2 linked regions of the Oryctolagus cuniculus genome follow. The protein of the gene in region 1 binds, or shares a complex with, the protein of each later gene. Links are inferred from orthologs where the notes say so. Each region holds a gene or a part of one and is shown on either strand. Other genes may lie near its edges.

Evidence for each region. Proteins that work in one complex are often made in the same cells at the same time.
Region 2: the proteins of GLE1 (region 1) and ATP-dependent RNA helicase DDX19B are in contact, whole or in part, in a crystal structure (PDB 6B4J), measured with the Homo sapiens proteins. The link is inferred for Oryctolagus cuniculus from reciprocal best matches to the Homo sapiens genes GLE1 and DDX19B. Residues at the interface, in NP_001003722.1 of Homo sapiens: Lys416, Lys419, Met420, Gln423, Lys424, Thr427, Ile428, Ser431, Gln432, Ile433, Ser434, Thr435, Ile436, Lys440, Gln458, Ser459, Gly460, Lys479, Lys483, Lys486, Gln487, Glu490, Glu491, Ser494, His495, Gln554, Gln562, Asn565; in NP_009173.1 of Homo sapiens: Cys325, Asn326, Tyr328, Gly329, Ala330, Ile331, Thr332, Ile333, Ala334, Glu356, Gly357, His358, Gln359, Arg378, Arg380, Glu381, Gly382, Lys383, Glu384, Lys385, Glu400, Gln401, Ser403, Phe433, Gly434, Lys435, Arg436, Asp469, Asp470, Leu471.

Annotation. Positions count from the first base shown.
Region 1 is NC_091432.1:231,800,754-231,804,262, reverse strand, and holds part of GLE1 (mRNA export factor GLE1), read right to left. Parts: intron 2,339-3,509; coding exon 2,234-2,338; intron 1-2,233. UniProt on the Homo sapiens protein: Required for the export of mRNAs containing poly(A) tails from the nucleus into the cytoplasm. May be involved in the terminal step of the mRNA transport through the nuclear pore complex (NPC).
Region 2 is NC_091449.1:56,909,022-56,913,037, reverse strand, and holds the start of ATP-dependent RNA helicase DDX19B, read left to right. Parts: upstream 1-1,209; 5' UTR 1,210-1,250; coding exon 1,251-1,430; intron 1,431-4,016. UniProt on the Homo sapiens protein: ATP-dependent RNA helicase involved in mRNA export from the nucleus.

The sequences.
Region 1 (3,509 bases):
GACTCAGGATCACTGTTCCTGTACAGCGACTTTGGCCTGTGACATCACAGGCCCAACCTTTCTTCCTGTTGCTTTGGAAGAGATTTAGTTATTATTTATTTGAAAGGCAGAGTGACACAGAGAGGAAAGAGATACAACTTCCATCTGCTGGTTCACTCCCCAAAATGGCTGCAACAGCCAGGTCTGGGCCAGGCTGAACTCCATCTAGTCTCCCAAATGAGTGGCAGGGTCCCAAGTACTTGGGCCGTCTTCCATTACCTTCCCAGGAACACGAGCAGGGCGTTGGATTCAAAAGCAGAAGAGCCGGGACTCAAACCAGCACTGCAATGTGGCATGCCAGCATCATGAGTGGCGGTTTAACCACCGTGCTACAGTGCTGGCCGCGAACCTTCTTCTCTAAGAATTGTCTCCTAAGGGGATGGCGCTGTGGCGCAGCAGGTAAAGCCACCGCCTGCAGTGCCGGCATCCCACATGGGCGCCGGTTCGAGTCCCAGCTGCTCCACTTCTGATCCAGCTCTCTGCTATGGTCTGGTAAAGCAGCAGAAGATGGCATAAGTCCTTGGGCCCCTGCACCCGTATGGGAGACCCAGAAGAAACTCCTGGTTCCTGGCTTCGGATTGGCACAGCTCCAGCCGTTATGGCCATTTGGGGAGTAAACCAGCAGGTGAACCTCTCTCTCTGCCTCTCTGTAACTCTGCCTCTAAATTAATAAATAAATCTTGGGGCCTGTGCTGTGGTGCAGCGGGTTAAAGCCCTGGCCTGAAGCACCGGCATCCCATATGGGCACCGGTTCTAGTCCCGGCTGCTCCACTTCCGGTCCAGCTCTCTGCTATGCCCTGGGAAAGCAGTAGAAGATGGTCCAAGTGCTTGGGTCCCTGCACCCACGTGGGAGACCTGGAAGAAGCTCCTGGCTTCGGATTGGCACAGCTCCAGTTGTTGCAGCCATCTGAGGAGTGAACCAGCGGATGGAAGACCTGTCTCTGTAACTCTGTCTTTCAAATAAATAAAATCTTTAAAAATAAATAAATAAATCTTTTTTTTTTTTTTTTGGTCAGGCAGAGTTAGACAGTGAGAGAGAGAGACAGAGAGAAAGGTCTTCCTTCCGTTGGTTCACCCCCCTAATGGCTGCTACGGCTGGTGCGCTGCACCAATCCGAAGCCAGGAGCCAGGTGCTTCCTCCTGGTCTCCCATGCGGGTGCAGGGCCCAAGCACTTGGGCCATCCTCCACTGCACTCCCGGGCCACAGCAGAGAGCTGGACTGGAAGAGGAGTAATCGGGACAGAATCCAGCGCCCCAACTGGGACTAGAACCCGGTGTGCTGGCGCCGCAGGCAGAGGATTAGCCCAGTGAGCCGCAGCGCTGACAATCTTTTTTTTTTTTTAAAGACAGTTACGAGAGAGGGAGAGACAGAGATTCATCTTCCATATGATAACTTACTCCCCAAATGGCTGCAACAGCTAGGACTTGGCCAGGCCACAGTCAGGAACTTCATCTGGGTCTCCCACACGGATGCAGGAGCCCAAATACTTGGGCCATCTTCTACTGCTTTCCCAGGACATAGCAGAGAGCCGGATCAGAAGTGGAGCAGCTGGGACACAAACTGGCACTCATATGGCATGCTGGCATTGCAGTGGTGGCTTAATCTGCTGTGCCACAGTGGCAGCCTCCAATTTTCTCTTTTTTATGATAAAAGAACATCCACACAGAGAGGACAAGCAGAGTGGGAAGAAAAAATGAAAGCTGGGATTGTCTTATGACATGGGAACCTCATGCCCAAACTCATCAGGCTCAATTTTTATTTTTATTTTATTTTACTTATTTTTATTAACTTGAGAGGTAGAGAAGAGGGAGCAGGAAGGACAGAAACTGAGAGACAGACAGACAGCGAGAACTTTGACCTGCTGGTTCACCCCAGTAACAGCCCGTAACAGCTAGGGACCAGGCTGAAACCAGGAGCCTGAAATTCCATCCAGGTCTCCCATGTGGGCGGCAGGGGCCCAGTACTTAAGTCATCACCACTGTCTCCCACGGTGGGCATTAGCAGGAAGCTGGAATCGGAAGCAGAGATGGGACAATTTCAACCAGGCACTCGGATATGGGATGCAGGTGTCCCAAGTGCACCAAATCGTCATCCCCAGGCTGCGATTCTATACTGTGTCCCCGGTCATGTCACCCGGTGGTCCCAGGCAGCACTGACAGTGGCCTTCTCCTCTGTGCTAACCGAATCACATACCTCCAAGAAGTCAAAGAGAAGAGTGGCTGTGACATCGGATAGGGGCTCCATGTTCAAGATCTGTGCCAACCAGCGCCAGCCATGATTTAGACCATGAGGGTGCGTCTGGAAGGAGAGAAGCCTGGTCATGCCTTGGTTTCATTTACTCAGAGACCTAACTCCCAATGTTATCACTCAGTTATCACCAGCGCACCTCGTTACCGTCTAACAGGGACTGTTATCACCAGGACACTGCGTTACCGTCTAACAGGGACTGTAATTACCAGCACACTGCGTTACCATGTAACAGAGACTGTTATCACCAGCACACTGTGTTACCGTGTAACAGGGACTGTTATCACCAGCACACTGTGTTACCGTGTAACAGGGACTGTTATCACCAGCACACTGCGTCACCGTGTAACAGGGACTGTTATCACTAGCACACTGCATTACGTGTAACAGGGGCTGTTATCACCAGCACACTGTGTTACCGTGTAACAGGGACTGTTATCACCAGCACACTGTGTCACCGTGTAACAGGGACTGTTATCACCAGCACACTGTGTCACCGTGTAACAGGGACTGTTATCACCAGCACACTGTGTTACCGTGTAACAGGGACTGTTATCACCAGCACACTGTGTTACCGTGTAACAGGGGCTGTTATCACCAGCACACTGTGTTACCGTGTAACAAAGACTGTTATCACCAGCACACTGTGTTACCGTGTAACAGGGACTGTTATCACCAGCACATTGTGTTACCGTGTAACAAAGACTGTTATCACCAGCACACTGTGTTACCGTGTAACAGGGACTGTTATCACCAGCACATTGTGTTACCGTGTAACAGGGACTGTTATCACCAGCACACTGTGTTACCGTGTAACAGGGACTGTTATCACCAGCACATTGTGTTACCGTGTAACAGGGACTGTTATCACCAGCACACTGTGTTACGTGTAACAGGGACTGTTATCACCAGCACACTGTGTTACCGTGTAACAGGGACTGTTATCACCAGCACACTGTGTTACGTGTAACAGGGACTGTTATCACCAGCACACTGTGTTACCGTGTAACAAAAACTGTTATCACCAGCACACTGTATTACGTGTAACAGAGACTGTTATCACCAGCACACTGAATCTCCAGGTCATCTAAACTAAGCACATGCTCAGACAGAAGTGGTATGAGCTAAATCAGTTCTGTTTTTTGTTTTTCGTTATTCATTTAAATTTACATATTTATTCTGAAAGCATTACAGAGAGGAAGAAACAGTGATCTTCCATCTG
Region 2 (4,016 bases), on another chromosome or scaffold:
CCAGCACAGGTCTTTGGCCCCAAAGTCCTCGTGTGCGCATGCCCGGGAATTGTATGTGCCTTCCCCTCAGCTGATTGGCTGGCGGGACTGGCTTCTGCCAATGAGACTCGGGCTCCACCGGGGCTGCCAACGGCGGTTGGGGAGGCTAACCGCCATGCTGAGCTACGATGGCTGGGGCGACTGGCCGTTTCCGAGGTCGAGCCATGGGGCGGTTTCCGCTCACCCTGCCGGTGGCCGATGTGAGTATCTGTGCGGGTAGAAGCGAGGCCGTTTTCGCCCCTGTTTGGGCGTCTCTCGCTCCCACCCCCGAGGAGAGGGGAAAGGAATAATGGGAGCGACTATACACGGAGCCCTGTTGGTGAGCCCGGCGCCGTGCAGAATTGTGAGCTAGGTGGGTACACGCCGGGGTTTCGCGGGAAGCCGAGGCCGCCTGCGCCCACTGGGGAGCAATTGCCGGAGACTGAATTCAAATCCGGGTGCCTTTATTCCCCAGCTCTCCTTTCTCGGCGCCCTCCTTTTGGGAACCGGGTTCTTTCAAGAATCTCACGTTGAACAGACGTGTTGGCGGTGAACGTAAGAGAGTCTAGGATCTCGATGCGTATCTATTTCTTAAGCCTTGTGGTGGAAACCTAGATATCTGTTATGTTGTTTACTTTTTTGCTTGTCTGCAGAAATAGTTTTTAAAAAAGTAGCCTTTATTTATTTGAAATGCAGAATGACAGAGAGGGGGAGACAGAACTTCCATCTGGTGGTTCACACCTTGTTCACTCCTTGGCAATAGCCAGGGCGGGGCCAGGCCGAAGCCAGGAGCCCCTAACTCCATCTGGGTCTCCCACTAATATGGCAAGAACCCAAGCACCCGGGCCTGGGCTGTCTCCTAGGTGCACTCCTAGCAGGAAGCTAGATGAGAAGTGCGGAGGACCCAGAACTTGCACTTGACACTCTGAAATGAGACGCCATTAACCCAAGCAGCAGCTTGTTTACATTTCTGTTAGGGTCTGTGGGATCTGTGTGAGCGTCTTCTGTGCCACCACGCTATGCCGCGATGGTTGGGAAGTCGGTTGACTTGAGTTGGTGCATATTAAGAGGACTCCCTCAATTCAGGAAGAAAGCATGCACCGTGGAGGGGTAGAGAGCGGGGGTCTCGAGGCAGCGGAAGCCGCAGCCTGGAGCGGAGAGCGGCGGCTGTCGGGGCGCGGGCTCTGACGTCACTGCGGCGCGCCGTTTCCGGTGCCCAGCACTGGCAGCGAATGACTTCCCCCTCTGCGGGGCCGGGGCCGGAACCGGGCTCGCCGCGACGCCCCGGAGCCCACGGCCGCGTCGTGCCCGCGGGCGAATCCGCCACATCGAGGGTCCCACCCGCGCTGGGGACCATGGCCACCGACTCGTGGGCTCTGGCGGTAGACGAGCAGGAAGCGGCGGCTGAGTCGGTGGGTTGCTTTCAGCCATAAAAGGGTCAAGGGACCAGTTCTGGATGGGGACTTGATCCCTGGGAAAGAACAGCCCCTAGACTGGTCGTGGCAGGGGTGGGTTCTGGGGAGGAGAATGGTAGAGCCTGAGCAGTCCGGCTCAGGAAGGCAGGTGAGCGCTCCCATCCTTAAATCGCCCGCCTGCCGGACTGCTCCAGCTTGCGCTCGCCTTGCGGTAGGGGGGTCTGGCAGCCAGGAAAGCCTCCCCTGGTCCTCTTAGCTTCCTTCTGTTCTTCTGGGACTGACACACAGTAAGCAAAATATGTGTTACGCGTTAATTTCTCAAACCTCAGCACTGTGTTCTGGTGGGCTTTGTATCTACTTCTGTTAGTACTTACTTCTGTAAGCCTTTGTCTTATTTTTTTGTAGTTGATAAAACAGTTTATGCATGTACATAATTTATAGTCAAATAGTTTTAAAACTGTGGTTCTTAAGAATTTTTTCCTTCTGAGAGGCAACTTAATTTTCTCTTGAGATGGATGGACAATATTTACTCTTTTTTTTTTTTTTTTTTTTTTTTTTTTTTTGATAGGCAGAGTGGACAGTGAGAGAGAGAGACAGAGAGAAAGGTCTTCCTTTGCCGTTGGATCACCCTCCAATGGCCGCCGCTGCAGCCGGCGCACCGCGCTGATCCGATGGCAGGAGCCAGGATCCAGGTGCTTTTCCTGGTCTCCCATGGGGTGCAGGGCCCAAGCACCTGGGCCATCCTCCACTGCACTCCCTGGCCATAGCAGAGAGCTGGCCTGGAAGAGGGGCAACCGGGACAGAATCCGGCGCCCCAACCGGGACTAGAACCCGGTGTGCCGGCGCCGCAAGGTGGAGGATTAGCCTATTGAGCCACGGCGCCGGCTCTCTTTTTTTTTTTTTTTTTAAAGATTGATTTGATTTGATTTGAAAGAGTTACAAGAGAGGTAGAGACAGAGAGACAGGTCTTCCATCCGCTGGTTCACTCCCCAGATGGCCGCAATGGCTGGAGCTGTGCTGATCCAGAGCCAGGAGCTTCTTCCAGGTCTCTCACGTGGGTACAGGGGCCCAGGGACTTTGGCAAATTACCCTTTCCCAGGCCATAGCAGAGAGCTGGATCCAAAGAGGAGCAGCCGGTTTTCAAACCGGCGCCCATATGGGATGCTGGCGCTTCAGGCTGTGCCACAGCGCCAGCCGCAATATTTACTCTTCATTTCCTAAATAACATGCCTGTTTTGCTACTTCCTCAGTAATCAGTTTTAAATATTTATTGACTTGTGACTTCTTCCTGTGTCTTCCCCCACCACACATGCACACTTTTCTTTGTGCCATTTTTCATTGTAATATTGTGATTTTAGAGTATTCCATGTTTATACTACCAACTCATGAAAACTACTTTCCTATAAAACTGTTTCCTTTGAACTTTTATTTGCTTTGTGTTTGTGCTTCATGTATTTTGTATGTATTATCAGTTCATTCCAATCTCTCTGCCTAGTTGCCTAAGCTTATCTCAAGATGTTTGCCAGCATCCCATGTGGGTGCCGGTTTGAGTCCTGGCTGCTCCACTTCCAATCCAGTGTTTGGGCCCCTGCAACCATGTGGGAGATCCAGAAGAAGCTCCTGGCTTCCAATTGGCCCAGTTCCAGCTGTTGGGCCATTTGGGGAGTGAACCAGTAGATGGAAGATCTCTGTCTCTCCTTGCCTCTGCTTTTCTGTAACTCTGCCTTCCAAATAAATAAATGTTCAGCCAATTAAGTATTCTATCAATTACATCTCTCCCAGGCTGTTAGTTTGTTTCAAACTGAACTAGTCACCCTTGTGTATAGAGTGCAGTGCATTTTGGGAGGTGAAGGGGAACAGAGAATATTTAGTTTCGCCTTGTTCTGGCAATTGCTTTTTTCTCTTGGGTTAGAGCCTCTTCTTTCTGTATCCCTGTCTTCATCTTCCTTGATTTGTTCCTTTATTTTAGTGCAGCCTTTGGTCAGCTTTTTGGAGGTGTATGGGAAGGAAATTTTTTTGTTGAAAAACTGCATGTATAGAGATACCTTATTTTGTCCTATCATCTGGATAATAGTATTGTAGGTTGAAAATTACTTTCCTGCCAGATTTTAAAGGCATTTTTCCATTGCCTTCTAGACTTCTGTATTTGTTGCGATGTGTGAGACAATTATGATTCCTCATGTGAGTTGTTTTTCCCTTTCCAAGTCTGGAGTATCCTGTTTGTTCAGCAGATACAAAAAGTGATACATGTCTTGCTTGGTATGGGTCTGTTTGCATCCATTTTACTTGTATACTAGACAAGTCTCTTAAATTTGGAGCATTCTTGTCCTTCAGTTATAGGAAAAAAAAAATTTTTTGACAGGCAGAGTGGACAGTGAGAAAGAGACAGAGAGAAAGGTCTTCCTTTGCCTCCAATGGCCGCTGTGGCCGGCACGCTGTGGCCGGTGCACCGCGCTGATCCGAAGGCAGGAGCCAGGTGCTTCTCCTGGTCTCCCATGGGGTGCAGGGCCCAAGGACTTGGGCCATCCTCCACTGCACTCCCGGGCCGTAGCAGAGAGCTGGCCTGGAAGAGGGGCAACCGGG